Schizosaccharomyces pombe: one gene and its partners. Changing the gene in region 1 together with any one later gene gives a genetic interaction. Each region holds a gene or a part of one and is shown in the gene's direction. Other genes may lie near its edges.

The links. Genes that interact genetically often act in the same process or in processes that back each other up.
Region 2: mutations in SPOM_SPAC644.09 (region 1) and vta1 together harm fitness more than expected from each alone (negative genetic interaction), as found in Schizosaccharomyces pombe (one large-scale study listed by BioGRID).
Region 3: mutations in SPOM_SPAC644.09 (region 1) and SPOM_SPAC1B3.02C together harm fitness less than expected from each alone (positive genetic interaction), as found in Schizosaccharomyces pombe (one large-scale study listed by BioGRID).

Annotation. Positions count from the first base shown.
Region 1 is NC_003424.3:2,686,978-2,691,620, forward strand, and holds SPOM_SPAC644.09 (pyridoxal phosphate homeostasis protein), read left to right. Parts: upstream 1-2,666; 5' UTR 2,667-2,725; coding exon 2,726-2,794; exon of another isoform or gene 2,795-3,074; intron 3,075-3,175; coding exon 3,176-3,295; exon of another isoform or gene 3,296-3,430; coding exon 3,431-3,766; exon of another isoform or gene 3,767-3,826; coding exon 3,827-4,015; 3' UTR 4,016-4,143; downstream 4,144-4,643. Other genes in the region: bcs1 (iron-sulfur protein assembly ATPase), read left to right, coding at 1-778; utr4 (methionine salvage haloacid dehalogenase-like hydrolase), read left to right, coding at 1,218-1,286, 1,340-1,921; mediator complex subunit Med11, read left to right, coding at 4,487-4,643. UniProt on the Schizosaccharomyces pombe protein: Pyridoxal 5'-phosphate (PLP)-binding protein, which may be involved in intracellular homeostatic regulation of pyridoxal 5'-phosphate (PLP), the active form of vitamin B6.
Region 2 is NC_003424.3:2,176,288-2,181,625, reverse strand, and holds vta1 (Vts1 family protein), read left to right. Parts: upstream 1-2,088; 5' UTR 2,089-2,143; coding exon 2,144-2,246; intron 2,247-2,400; exon of another isoform or gene 2,401-2,508; coding exon 2,509-2,606; exon of another isoform or gene 2,607-2,738; coding exon 2,739-2,933; exon of another isoform or gene 2,934-3,270; coding exon 3,271-4,044; 3' UTR 4,045-4,638; downstream 4,639-5,338. Other genes in the region: exocyst complex subunit Sec10, read left to right, coding at 1-59; mpd1 (thioredoxin family protein), read right to left, coding at 463-1,554; glycerol dehydrogenase Gld1, read left to right, coding at 5,266-5,338. UniProt on the Schizosaccharomyces pombe protein: Has a role in the formation of the multivesicular body (MVB). Required for the sorting of lipids to form intralumenal vesicles and for fluid-phase transport to the vacuole. Required for sorting several plasma membrane proteins into the MVB.
Region 3 is NC_003424.3:4,927,472-4,931,889, reverse strand, and holds SPOM_SPAC1B3.02C (Elf1 family transcription elongation factor), read left to right. Parts: upstream 1-2,344; 5' UTR 2,345-2,373; coding exon 2,374-2,439; intron 2,440-2,480; coding exon 2,481-2,527; intron 2,528-2,570; coding exon 2,571-2,641; intron 2,642-2,789; coding exon 2,790-2,929; 3' UTR 2,930-3,718; downstream 3,719-4,418. Other genes in the region: GTPase GUF1, read left to right, coding at 1-387, 539-577; cyclophilin family peptidyl-prolyl cis-trans isomerase Wis2, read left to right, coding at 875-1,945; SPOM_SPAC1B3.01C (uracil phosphoribosyltransferase), read left to right, coding at 3,972-4,070, 4,292-4,418.

The DNA of each region.
Region 1 (4,643 bases):
GGCCACTGAATGGAAGCCTTTCGGGCACCCTAGATCAAAAAGGATGCTTTCTAGTGTTGTACTTGAAAGCAATGTTAAAAAAATGATTACAGACGACGTTCATGACTTTTTACGAAATTCACAATGGTATGATACAAGAGGAATTCCATATAGAAGAGGCTATCTTCTTTATGGACCTCCTGGAAGTGGAAAAACCTCATTTTTATATGCTCTTGCAGGTGAATTGGACTACGACATATGCGTTCTAAACTTGGCTGAAAAAGGCTTAACTGACGATCGTCTCAACCATCTACTTTCTAATGTACCTCCCAAGGCAGTAGTTTTACTGGAGGATGTTGATTCTGCATTTCAAGGTAGGGAACGATCTGGGGAAGTTGGGTTTCATGCCAATGTTACATTTAGTGGGTTGTTAAATGCACTCGACGGTGTCACTTCATCAGACGAAAGGATTATATTTATGACAACTAATCATCCTGAAAAGCTTGATCCAGCTCTCGTTCGTCCGGGCCGCGTTGACGTTAAAGCATATCTTGGAAATGCTACACCTGAACAAGTTCGCGAAATGTTTACTCGCTTTTACGGTCACTCCCCAGAGATGGCTGACGATTTAAGTGATATAGTGTGTCCAAAAAATACAAGTATGGCTTCATTGCAGGGTCTTTTTGTAATGAATAAGAGCTCACCTGCTGATGCTGTTGATATGGCTAAAGAGCTTCCTGATAATCCTCCTAGTACACCTTTCTCCTTTAACGTACACAGAAAGTCTTTGTCTGTATGAAATCCCTTAGATTTATTTAACTTAAAATGTTATTCGTTTCGTAATAAGCTCTACTTATCAATCTTGACCACAAAAAAAAGACATCTTGGTAGAAACATATATTGTACGCGATTAATCTATGAATAATTAATGAATTTAAAAAATGGTTAAAAAATAACTAGTCCGTATTTTCTATTCTAAAAGACAGGCATGCATAAGATAATTATTCAAATGCATGTTCTCAATAAAAAGCTGCAAGCTGTTGAAATTCTTTTTCCATATGTTTAAGAAAGTAAAATCCAATAAAATTCCAATTGTAATCTTAAATTATTTTACGTGATGCATAGCTGAATTCGCAAAGTACTAATCCTACTTACTGCACATCTTACTTCTTTAAAGTTGCATAAAACTTGTGTCCTAAAAGAAAAGTGAGTTGTACGGCATCTCTTTATTACAAAAAATGGTTAAAAATTTGCTCTTGGATATTGAAGGGACTGTGGGTAGCATTTCATTTGTCAAAGACAAATTGGTAAGTGAAGTTTTTTATTGAGAACAATGTAGATCGTGTTTAACCCATGCTAGTTTCCATACGCTGCTTCAAGATACGAAAGTTATGTTAATGAAAATTATGAAAGTGATGAAAACTTGCGAGAACTTGGAAAAACGCCTGAAGAGGCCTTGATAAATTTACGAAAGTTGCATGCTGAAGGAAGCAAAGAACGTTCCTTCAAAATGGTCCAAGGTCGTATTTGGAAAAAAGGTTATGAAAGTAATGAACTAACTTCACACTTGTTCCCCGATGTTGTTCCTGCTATTCAACGTAGTTTGCAATTGGGAATGCGTGTTTACATTTACTCCAGTGGGAGTGTTCCAGCTCAGAAATTGTATTTCGAGCATTCAGATGCTGGAAACCTTCTAAAGTATTTCTCTGGATATTACGATACTACTATAGGGCTTAAAACTGAGTGTGGCAGTTATGTGAAAATTGTGGGAAACTCAAATCCTAGAGAATGGCTCTTCTTGAGTGACAATATCAACGAGTTGAAAGCTGCAAGAAAAGTCGGGTTGCACACCGGTTTGGTGGTTCGTCCTGGCAATGATCCTGTTGTAGACACCAGTGGATTCCCCGTGTACAATAGTTTTGAAATTTTGTTCACGGAATAAAGCAATGGTGAACCCTAACGACCGTTTCGCTTAGAACAAAGTAATGAGTTTCTTTAAAGGACATGAGTTCTTTAAAAGAATTTTGATTCTCTTGTGCTCTCATTTTCTATTTCTTTGTGTTTTTTTTTTCATGATTTCTTTGAATACATCCGAAAATTAGTCAACGCAATTTCTTCTCTTAAAATATATTGAATTATTATAATTTTTTTAACCCAATGGATTTTTGAATTGTTTCAGAAACCTTTTTTAACTATGAAACTTTTTTACCATGATTGAATATTTGTATCAATTATCTAAACATTGAGTAAAACACTCTTGTAAACTCTCCATTCGTTCAATCAACTATTTGAACTGAATTTTTTTTTTTTTTTTGATAAAATAGAAAAAGAGCGTTCTTGTTTAATATTTTCCTCTCCTGTGTACTCATTGTAAAGAAGAGAGGTTTGTCAATCAACATGGGTTACAATTCGTCGGTTTTGTAGCCAAATTAACATTAATCCTTTATTAGTGATTTCTTTTTAAATGTTTCTTAGCCATTAATGTTTATTTATTTACTTGTTTCTGTGACATATAATATCATTACCCCCATTTGGTACCTCTTCCTCCCACTTTGATCAGCAATTACTCTCTGTAAGCTTCTCCAGGTTAATAAAGTCAAGAAGAGACTATAGCTATACCCCCATATAGTACTCTTTATCCCACATTTTGTATCACTCAAAATCAATTTCAACTAAGAGACCTAAGCAGAGTAATTTAACTGTCAGGTGGATTTGACTAAGAAAGTAGTAATAGCTTTCATTCAACATGAGTACTATCCATAGCTGTTTAGATTTAATTAGAAGTCAAATCCAGCAATCTGCAAATGGCCGCAATGTAAGTTTGTATGAGTGATTTTGGTTGTTTTTTCGGGTACTTGGTAAAATTGAATTTCGGATGTCTGATCTCCAGGCGAATAAAGTCATACTGCTCAGCTAATAAGCTTCGTGAAAGATTTATTTAACTCGACGATATAATACTTTATTTTTAGGCTTATAATATTTAAGGAAATGATGCTTCGCCGAGAATAAAATGTTGCAAAGATATCTTCGATTAAAATGGGTTTATCTGAAATAGCGTTGTTTATGTCAGCTGAGGTGAAGGAAAAGATCTAAAAAAATGAATATTTTCACTTTTACATTTTTGGGATTCCCTAAAAATCTTCCAATTTCGCCTGCTGCTTTATCCATCACTAACAATTGCCTTAATGGCTTTTAGGTTCTTCTTGTAGCTGTTAGCAAGTTTCATCCTGTTGAAACCTTGATGGAAGCGTACAATGCTGGTCAAAGGCACTTTGGCGAGAATTACATGCAAGAATTTCTAAAGAAAGTAGAGTTGGTAAGTGCTAGAATGTATTATGTGTTTTCGGTAATCTATTTTTTGATGCCTACCATCTTTAAAAACACTTTTTTAAGTTAGATAATAAGTGGTTCTCATTGTTTATTTCCATTCACAAGGCTAACAGTGCCATAGATGCCCGACGACGTCCAATGGCATTTTATCGGTAGTTTACAGTCATCTAAGTGCAAGAAAATTGCATCTGTAAAAAACTTGTACAGTATTGAAACCATTGATACTGAAAAGAAGGCTCGTTTGGTAAACAGCGCTCGTGAGGCATTACAACTACCCTTAAATGTCTATATTCAAGTAAATACCAGTGGTGAGGAGAACAAGGGAGGAGTTACTCCGTCTAAAGTTCTTGAACTCTGTAAGCAAGTTCAAGACATGAAATATTTGCGACTCAAAGGCCTCATGACTATTGGCTCTATTTCCAATTCTCAATTATCTGATCACAACCCAGATTTCCAGGTAAGATTATTTCCTTTTTCTTCCTTTTTATTCATCTTTGCTCTTCCTAACGCAGTACAGGTTCTTTCAGATCTTCGTGAGTCTTTGCAAAATGAGCTCGGTATCCCTTTACAATTGTCTATGGGAATGAGTTCTGATTATCTCCTTGCTATAAAATATGGAAGCGACTCTGTTCGTGTTGGCAGTTCCATATTTGGTTCTCGTCCGACAGAAAAGCCATCAGATGTTCACATATCTGCATCGAAATGAGTTCGGATGTAGAGTTATAGATAAAAAATGCAATTTTGGCTATCCTTTTTCATTTAAAATATATTATTTTATTTTTTGCTTCTTTAATGATGATGTTACTAGATATTTGAAAATAAATACATTTTTCTAAATTTTTTAAAGTCTCGGTTTGCAATTCTATAAATTTTTAGCAAATTTAGAGATAATATTATAATTAAGGAAAAAATTGTACCAATATATATGACCAATTAATCCTAATACGTTCATTTACAACATGGCTAAGATTCGAGTGCAAGCACTTACTTCACAGCACTACACTTTTCTCTAATATCTTTTCATTTATTTTGGCTATTGGAAATTGTGGACGCAGGCGCAATCGTTCCATTAATAAATCAAACTAATTATTAAAGAATAGACGGGAATGTACGATTGAGAGTGAATACTGGATATTTAATAAATCTCTCAATAACATAAATTATCAAAATTTGAACGATGACTAATAGTGACGACGATCTTTTTAGTGAAAAATCAACATCTTCTGATACTCAGCAAGTACAAAATATCCTCGAACTTGAAGCAAAGATCCCCGACATTTTATCTTCAGCTGGAAAATGCATTGAAGCCATTCAACTAAATAATTCTCTTGAGG
Region 2 (5,338 bases), 510 kb from region 1:
AAAACTTGAAGTTGCAACTGAACAAAGAAGAAGCTTTATTGCCCCCAAAGAGCAGTTGAAATCGCTCATTTTTGTTAATGTCTTAATTATGAAGTAATTTGTCTATAGATAAACATAATATCTTTTATAGTGTATTATATAAATAATTTTTTCTGTAAAGAAAATCGTTCTCAAACTTTTTATAAACGCTTTATTTAAGTTTCATTTAGTGAATCTGTATTTGAAATATAAAATTAGCAAGACGAGCATAATAATTCATTAAAGGAAGGAGACAAAAAGGAATTATACGAATGTATAACATCTTTATTTTAAATTAAATAAAAAATAGCTTTTAAAAGTGCTTAAGCTTCATGTAAAGGAAAGCTTCACACAAAATATAAAATGCAATGACGAGAACGAGTGAGTAGAAAGAGAGTAACATATTGTACTGCAAAGTGCAAAATTACATTACAATAAGTGTGTTTATTTAATCTTTGATAAGAGGTCATTTGGCAAAGACACTGAAGGTCCTGCTTGTTGTACTTGGATATCTTCCAACCAACGGCGTAAAGGTTTTCCATAGGGCTTAGCATTATAATGAGATTTCTTAAGACTGAGAAGAAAAGTGTCACTATAACCAAGGTCCAATGTATCTTCAAGTCTTTCGGCTACTGTTGTATTTCGACCAAGACGTACAAAGTGAAGTTTTGGGTACTTTTTCCTAATAGATTCGTCTATTCCAGAATCCGAGTCCTTATCCTGAATTGTAATAATGCAGGATTTTTTTGAGCAAAAAGTTGCTAAGTATTCTGAAAAATTATTATCTTTAATTGAAGATTGTAAAAATTCAACAATAGAATCCCGATTTAAGGAATTTGAAAAAAAAGATGTTCCATTGTTGGGGTGTTTTATGAATAATATGGGTAAATCGGAGGTGTCAACATACGCAGAAATATTGAAAAGATCATTCACATTAGCTTTTGCAGGCATAAATGAAAAAGGTAAGCTCGAGAACTCATTTGAAAGAGATTTGTACAGCAAAGTCGGCTTCATTTTTTGAGAAATGAGAATTACCTTAGAGGAGTTTTGAGCATCTTGGATGAATTTTTGAGTTTTTGCCTCAGAAGTCAAAATTTTGACTTTACTGGGAATAGAATCAGAGACGAATTTTTGGAGAGACTTGTAACTTCGATCACCGTTGTAATCAGTAGAGGAAAGAGAAGATCCTTTGGAAGATGGATAAACCAACTTTATAGTGGGAAAGCCCTGTACCTGGTATTGAGAGCAAACGGCCCTATTCTGATCAGCATCACAATCGACAGCAGTAACCGGCAAGAGTGAATGTAGATTGCTGGCTAATTTTTGGTAAGTAGGTACAAGCTTTTTGCAATAACCACACCACGGAGCATAAAAGACAACTAAAGATGGGCCCTTTGCTTTTACAAATTTACGAAAATTTTTGGAATTTAACTCAATCGTGTTGGATCCAAACATTGGTGAGTAGCCAAAGACGCCGGATACAAGGCTGAAGCAAGCCAAAAAGAGCGTAAATAAAGTTGGAATACGGAAGAGCATAATGATGTGTAGTTTGTCCAGCGTATTTTTAAGGGTAGTAAGGTGAATGAAAGAAAGGAAAATGAAAATCGAAGAAATAAAAAAAAATAGAAACCGTTTGGCGAAAATGAAATAAGAAATACGTCCTAGCTACAAATGATCGATGCAATGGGAAGTAGTTGGTGAATGGAAAAATCGAGAGGTTTACGGCGACAACCACTTTAGTGTGAGGTTTGAGTGAGCATATGTCACGAGAAAATTTAGAAGAAATAATAGGTTTTAGTCAATCAATGAGTTATAAGGCTTATTGAAATCATCATTTTGATATAGAATAGGTAGAGTATGTCAAGACACTAGAAAAATCTGAATAGCGGGGCACAAAAAATGCACGATGAAAACGATGCGACTTGATTCCCCTCAAATGAAAAGAAAGTGTTTGTACGTCAAAACTATTAGTACTAGAGTTTTTTGAATAATTGACTTGATGGTTTTAATACTTGAGTAGACCTAACCTTCATCTACCTTTTTATATCATGTAGCTGGTATCTGTAATCCACCAACTGTCAAACCAAAAGTACAGAAACTTGAAAGGAGAGATATTTGACAAAATATGATACAAATAGATACTATACCGAAGGAATTACAATCCATTCAACCGTTTGTGAGACGATTCAATGAACTTGAGGCACACAATCCTGTCATAGCTTATTGGAGTAAGTGTTTAGTAGCTAAGTGATGAATTTGTAATATGGAAGGGTGTATGAAAAAAAAAATTGGAGAAAGAAAAATATAAAATAATAAAAAAATAACTTAAACCTTTTTTCTCTCTTGTTTACGTTGATGAAGTTTTCATAGTCTACATTTCGCTAGAGGGAATACTACTTTCCATAATACACCCTATTATAAGCACAAAGGAATTTGTTTCATCATTCGAGATATTCATTTGCTTGATTCACTAACTTGTACTATTACTAGGTCTATACTGGGCAGCTCAAATGGCGCTTTCCAGCTCACACGGTGTTTCCAACGAATGCAAGGATTTCCTGCTGTCACTCATTGAGCATTTAGAAGATGTAAGTTTAGAAAACATCCTTTTCCTTTTTTTAAATGTTGGCGAGGGTTTTTTCTCTTTTTTTTTTTTTTTGGATTACGAGACCAACTATGTAAATGTTTCTGTGGTACTAACCGCTCTATGGCGTGTGTAGTTACGTAAAAATTTGGGCGAGAATGAGAATGTGAGTGACGAGACTAGTGCAAAGGCGTATGTTGAATCGTTTTCCCTAGAAGTTCTTGTCCAGGCCGAAAGAAATAGCAAAAACGGGAAACCAGATGTGCAAGCGTATTTGGCAGCCCGAGATTTTCTAGAGTTGTCGAGAATCTGGGGACCACCTACGGAACAGGTACGTGAGTCAAAAACAGCGAGAGCAAGTGAGACGGAATGAAAAAGAGTAACGAGCAGAACTTAGGAGAAAAAAAAAAGAAAACCACGATCAACAAAAATGAAAAAATGAAGGTTCTTTGGAAATTTTTTTATTTTTTATTTTTGTTTTGTCAAAAACAAAATCGTCTTTTCCAATTCACATTACCATGTGTTTTTTTTTTCGACTCGTTTCTTCTTTTGCCATTCTGAGGATTTCCTTCCTATCGGTATTTTTCTCTCTCGTTTGTATTATACAACGATGCTTTATGATGCTTATAACGATTTTTTGTTCCCTACTAACCCCTATTGCTACGTAGATTACCAAGTCAATCAAATTTTGCAAGTTACGTGCGCTCCAAGTCGCAAATCCCCAACGAAAGGCCAAAACACCCTCAAACCACGCGACCGAGGAGTTACAGCAATCTTCCACAAATTCCACAACCCTACCTACGCAAGAAGCCGCCGTTGAAACGAATGCCTCTGCTTCTCATGAAACATCTTTTGCTCTCCCCACTACATCTCCAGCAGCATCGCTCTCCATCTCTCCTACAAAGTCTGCAGCCGTATCTTCCGAGCCTAATGTAGAAGCAGACGTAAAATCGTTGTCTTCAACACCGGCTGCTCCACAACTAAATTCACCTTCCCATTCATATGAGCCTACCACGTTCCCCTCAACTACATCAATAACCGAAAATTTGCCAACAATAGATCCTACTCGTTCCACTCGCTCTTCCTCGCATATCCAAAGTTTATCTCCTGAGTCAAAGCAAACATCAGATGGGCATCGGCCTCCCTCCCCTACGTCAATCACCACCACCTCCACCTCCATCGATCCGTCAGTAGCATTTTCCAGCAAGTCAACTTTAGCCACAACAAGAACAAATGCCCCTCTATCAAGGCCATCTCAACCGACTAAAGCCTCCCCCTTGAACAAGTTTTCCGCCTTGGAGGCTATCCAATCTGCTCGAAGTCATGCACGCTATGCATACAGTGCATTAGACTACGAAGACACAACGACAGCCATTCATCATCTAAAGTCGGCACTAAAACTTTTGGAGGAAGAGGAGCAGGGAAATCATACTGCAGACTAGAGGAAGAATGCTGGGGCTGGAATGGAGGGGATCTCAATGAGACAATGGGAAAAGGTGGGGCAGATACCAGTAAAATTATCTATCCATCTTGGGGAGAAACAATCTAATTGTACCACTCTCCCCACTATTCGTCTCTCTTAATGTTTGTTTATTTGTTTGTTTTTTTTTTATCCACTTTTTTTTCTTCAAATGCTTTCTAATTGTAGCAGGACCCCGCCTTTCTCTCCACTCTTCCCATTTTCCCTCGCCGTTGAGTGGCACTGCTCATCCCTGTCTCCTCATTTTTTGTCGCGTCATTTTAGCGAGCGTTTATTAAGGAACTGGCGAATGACTGCTGTTGTATATATTTCCCCAGATTTTCAGCAAGTAAGCTTTTGTCTTGTACTGCATACCACGTTGTCTTTCTTGCCCCTATGACGCAGTTATGAGACCAACGAGTCATGGGTTTATCCTGCCTCATCTTTTGTTACGTTATTTTCCTGTCTGCTTGGGTTTGGCTTCCGCAGTGGGGAACTGGCAATTGCGGTGGATATGTGTGGTGTCATCGCCCTCTCATCAAGTTTATATGTAGAGGGGCAGCGCTGAATTCTTTGCTCTTGGTTATTGCTTTCGCAGTTTTCCATATTTCCCCCATCCATCCATCCATCCATCCACCTCTTCTCTTCTCTTCTTTTTTTAACAGAATTGCTTTTTCCATTGTAAAATAAAACCATAGCAAGTTTTCACTACCACTTGGGTTTTTTTTTCTTTTCTTTAATTATTTTTTTAATCAACTTTCGTTGCTTTAATTTTTAAATATTTTTTCTCTTTTCATTCTTCCTACTCTTCCCGTTTACCGTCGATCGGCTGATTCTAGTTTTGACAATCACCATTGACTACGTCGATCCCTTTTTTTTTGGCCAGCCGAGATCATATATCCCGTTCATTCTTGGAACTTTCGTGATCTTTCGACTGTCTATTGATTCCGCAAACAAGTATATATATACACATATAGTTGTTTTTTCTTTTTGGACCTCTGTTCCATTGCGTTTCTCTCCTTCTTAGTTACTTGTGCTTCTTTACCTATTTCCTTTTTCTTTTTAAATAAGGATTCTTCTGTATCGAAATAAATTTCAAGAAAGGTAAGAACCGTTCCACACGCCTATTCTTGTATTTCTCTTTTCTTCGATTTGATTCGATTTCTATTCGTAACGCTTAGCTAGTCTTTGAACTTCCTTCATAATGATTGGTCCTCGTCTTTGCGCTGCAACCCCTCGCTTCCCTCTCGTTTCCCTCGCCCACAGGAACTCTAAAG
Region 3 (4,418 bases), 2.2 Mb from region 1:
TTAAAAGGGACAACAAGTGGTTTCGCTACCTTAGATTATGAAGAATCGGATTACGTTCCTGCTGATTTGGTGCGACTATCAATTTTTATGAGTGGAAAATCTGTAGATGCTCTTTGTTCTATAGTGCATCGCTCGCTTGCACTTCAGCGAGGCCGTGAATGGATTCAACGGTTGAAGCCGTTAGTTCCTAAACAACTATATGAAGTAATACTTCAAGCTGTCATCGACAACCGAGTAGTCGCCAGGGAGTCTATCTCGGCTCTTCGAAAAAATGTCACAGCAAAATGCTACGGGGGAGATGTAACAAGGAAGCAAAAGCTACTTAATAAGCAAAAGGAAGGGAAAAAGAGATTGAAGTCAGTTGGAAATGTTTCAATTGACAAATCGGTAAGTAATTACATTGCCTGAAGACTTCATCGAAATATGTTTTAAAACTATTAGGAAACACAATTTTGTGTTTTAAAATTTAAATACATTGTTGACTTCACTCAACAGCACTTATATTTCTTTATAGTCCGTGTGTGCTAACTTAAATCAGGTATTTTATGAATTTTTAACGAAGAAGCAATCTAATTGAAAAAAGTATAAATATTTTTTGGTCTAATAAAAAGTCAAATTTTCTTCTGCTAGCATTTTTTTAATACAGTATGTTTCTAGAAGTTTCGTAGAAAATCTCTTCGCAGTAGGTTGCAAATATAAATCACCACCTTTTTAATAACTAAAACTAAATAGTTTGCACAGATCTGTATATTTCGTCTGCGTAAAATCGCTATTCATTCTTCTTCTTAAAGCAACTTTGTGGTGTGAATACACTGAGGAGACTGGCAGTGAAATATCATTACTTAAAAACGATCATTGTTTTTTTTTGCACGAAATGAGTACTTACGCCTATTTTAAAATTAGCATTGATGGTAAAATTCAACCAACAATCTACTTTGAACTTTTCGACAACGTAGTTCCCAAAACTGTCAAAAACTTTGCTTCGTTGTGTAATGGGTTTGAGAAGGATGGCCGTTGTTTAACCTACAAAGGTTCAAGGTTCCATCGAGTAATTAAGAACTTTATGCTTCAAGGTGGTGACTTTACTCGTGGTAATGGAACGGGTGGAGAAAGCATCTACGGCGAGAAGTTTGAGGACGAGAACTTTGAGCTCAAGCATGATAAGCCTTTCTTGCTTTCCATGGCCAATGCCGGCCCTAATACCAATGGATCTCAGTTCTTCATTACTACTGTTCCCACCCCTCATTTGGATGGAAAGCATGTTGTTTTTGGCAAGGTAATTCAAGGAAAATCTACTGTTCGTACCATTGAAAATTTGGAGACCAAAAATGACGATCCGGTTGTACCTGTTGTTATTGAAGAATGTGGAACTTGCACAAAGGATCAGATTGAGGCACCAAAGCCAGACGTTACTGGTGATTCTCTGGAAGAATTTCCTGATGATTACGAGGGTGATAAGTCCGAGACTGCCATTTTCAAAATTGCTAGCGACTTAAAGGGAATTGCTAACAAGCAATTTGCTCAGCAAAATTTGGATACAGCCGTTGCCAAATGGCAAAAAGCTTTGCGCTACCTAATGGAATACCCTGTTCCCAACGATGACTCTAAGGAATCCCCTGATTTCTGGAAAGAGTATAATGCTTTACGATACAGCATATACGCAAACCTTGCCCTTGTAGCTTTGAAGCAGAACAAACCTCAGGAAGCTATTCGAAACGCCAACATTGTAATTGAGGCCAGTAACTCTACTGAGTTAGAGAAACAGAAAGCATACTATCGTTTGGGTTGTGCTCAAGGTCTCTTGAAGAATTTTGAAGAATCAGAGAAAGCACTTGCTAAGGCTGGTAACGATCCTGCAATTTCAAAGAAGCTTGCAGAAATTCGTCAAAAGAAAAAAGATTATAAGAAGCGCCAACAAAAGGCCTATGCTAAGATGTTTCAGTAATTCCAAATTAATCGGCGTCACGTGAATGCTGAGAAGTCAATTATGTTTTACGTTAATTTCTAGTTAGTCAATGAGAGTTTTATCGCATTTACAAAATAACCATAGAAGGTCAACTACGTTGCGAGAAAGAGTGCAAGATTTACTTATGGAGGATCTGGCTTCGTTTGTAAGACTGGTATGCCTACGTTTGCGTTTCATACAGCAAAGTATCATCATGAATAGAAAGAACTCTAGAAACAAATGTGCATCAGTAAACTCAATAAGAATATCATATTTAAACATTTAATTCATTAAAATTAAATAAGACCGTCTCTTACCAAGTGTCGAAATTACATGAGTTTCCGCATTACCCTTCCTAAGGATGAGAGTGCTAATGTGAACCCGCTAATACGAATCTGCAGTTTGCAAAACGTAAACAGATTCTGCAAATGGGTAAAAGAAAAGCAAAAGCAAAAGTGAAACCCAAAAGAAGGGCACCCCCATTAGATACGACTGTGAGTTATAGTTTAATTACGAAATTTACTAACTTTACTAGTTTACGTGCCTATTTTGCAACCACGAAAAAAGTGTGAGCTGTAGTCTGTATGCTTATTAACTACTTTCATTTTTTTTAACACTTTGATAGTGATAAACAATCAGGAGTTGGAAATCTACACTGCAAAATTTGTGGTCAGAGTCATCAATGTCTAATTACAGGTATGAAAGAGGTGTTTTATTTCAATAGCGGCACGTAAATTATTACGATTAATATTGCGGTTAATTTCTTTTATATCGTCTCTTTATCTTCTTATTTCTTGTTCTTTTATGAAATTTTCTTGTACACTTATTTACTAACATTATCAAGCTCTTTCGGCACCCATCGACGTATACAGCGACTGGATTGATGCTTGTGATGCTGTTGCAAATCAAGCTAAAGAGGTTGATAATATAAATGATCAAGAAGCCTATTCCCCTGAAGCAGCTTATGAGGAAGAAAAGGAATGATTTTTTGCTATTGGCCTAACTTGCAAAAGGAAGATTCTTTTCAGAGCTTAAATGTTGAAAGTTTCCGTTCATTTATGGTGATCTTATTTTCGTTGATGCTCAGTCGTTTCAATTAAGAGATTTCTCTGAAGCGATAAGAAGGTATTAACTACATTGCAATGAACAAGACGCTGTATTTGGCAAAACCGGACGAGCTTAGTGTATACAAATCTAGGCATGCTCTTGTATATATTTGTCCTTTTTAAAGACGTCGAACATACGAATTTCGAGATTCCATCTGATGAACCGACAATTGGACGATAGTGTTAAGCTTATTTGTTGGTATTCGGATGTACCATCAATATGGGTGTGATATCTTGCTCATTGGCAAGATAGCCATTTCATTGCTTTGTTTTTGGTTTGGTAGAATCGCTGTTCACTATGACAGGCTAAGAATTACGAGTGCCTAGAGTGTGGTTGACTTCGACCTTGTACTTATTGTATTCTCCATGTACAAAAAATGTCTAGAATGAAAGAGATATGAAAATATGTTCATGTGTTCTTACTGCATTTGATTTAAAAATCCTTACAATACAACTCATTTCTTGGTTTCTTGTGAATACAGTTGGATGAATTGAGAATTACAAGTAAAAAACATTGAAATCCAATTAAGATTGTAAGCTGCATGGAGTCCAATTGTATGAATGTGTGCTTCAAAAATTTGTACTGTCTTTCTCATTCTTAAATATAAGCAGTAATTCATTTAAAAACATCAACTTGCCCTAAAATATGTTCAATAGTTAATTGATATTCTTATTTAATTTTGCCAAGCCTGCTAGAGTAGAAATCTTTTACTGCGCTAAGTAACGCATTAATCATAATTATGTTATTATGAAATGATGTTGTAAATCTTTATTTATGTTTAACGAAATATACTAAGGTTGATAAAACTCATTTTGCTATTGATAGCTTAAAAGCAAATGTGTTATTGTGCTTTTACTTTTTACCATTTACTTGGTAAACAACTTGATAGGTAGATATTTAAGCATACATCGTCAAAAAGATGTCGCTGGTACCTGAGCATGGAAATGTGTACGTACTAAATCAGACAAATCAATTAAAAGGGTTGTTTACCATCATTCGTGATAAAACGAAACCTCGTGTATGCGCGTTCAGTTTACAACAGATTACTGAGTCAAGGTCTAAGAACTAATTGAAATGAATGTGTTAATATGTCCAAGAAATTTTAGCTTTTTCCTCTATTAATGGGGAGATAAATGTTTATCAGTGGATGATAGGAAGCATTCATTATCAGTTAGTACATTCGACAACTTCTCGTGTATTCTTTGTTGAATCTGTTATCCCTGCTAACATGATATTTAGTCTGAATTTATTTTTTATGCCAATAGAATCATTCGTTTAATTGTTGAAGAGGGCCTCAACCACTTGCCAGTGTCTTCAGCTAAGGTAACGACTGCTCAAAATGCTGAATACGAGGGTGTAATGTTTG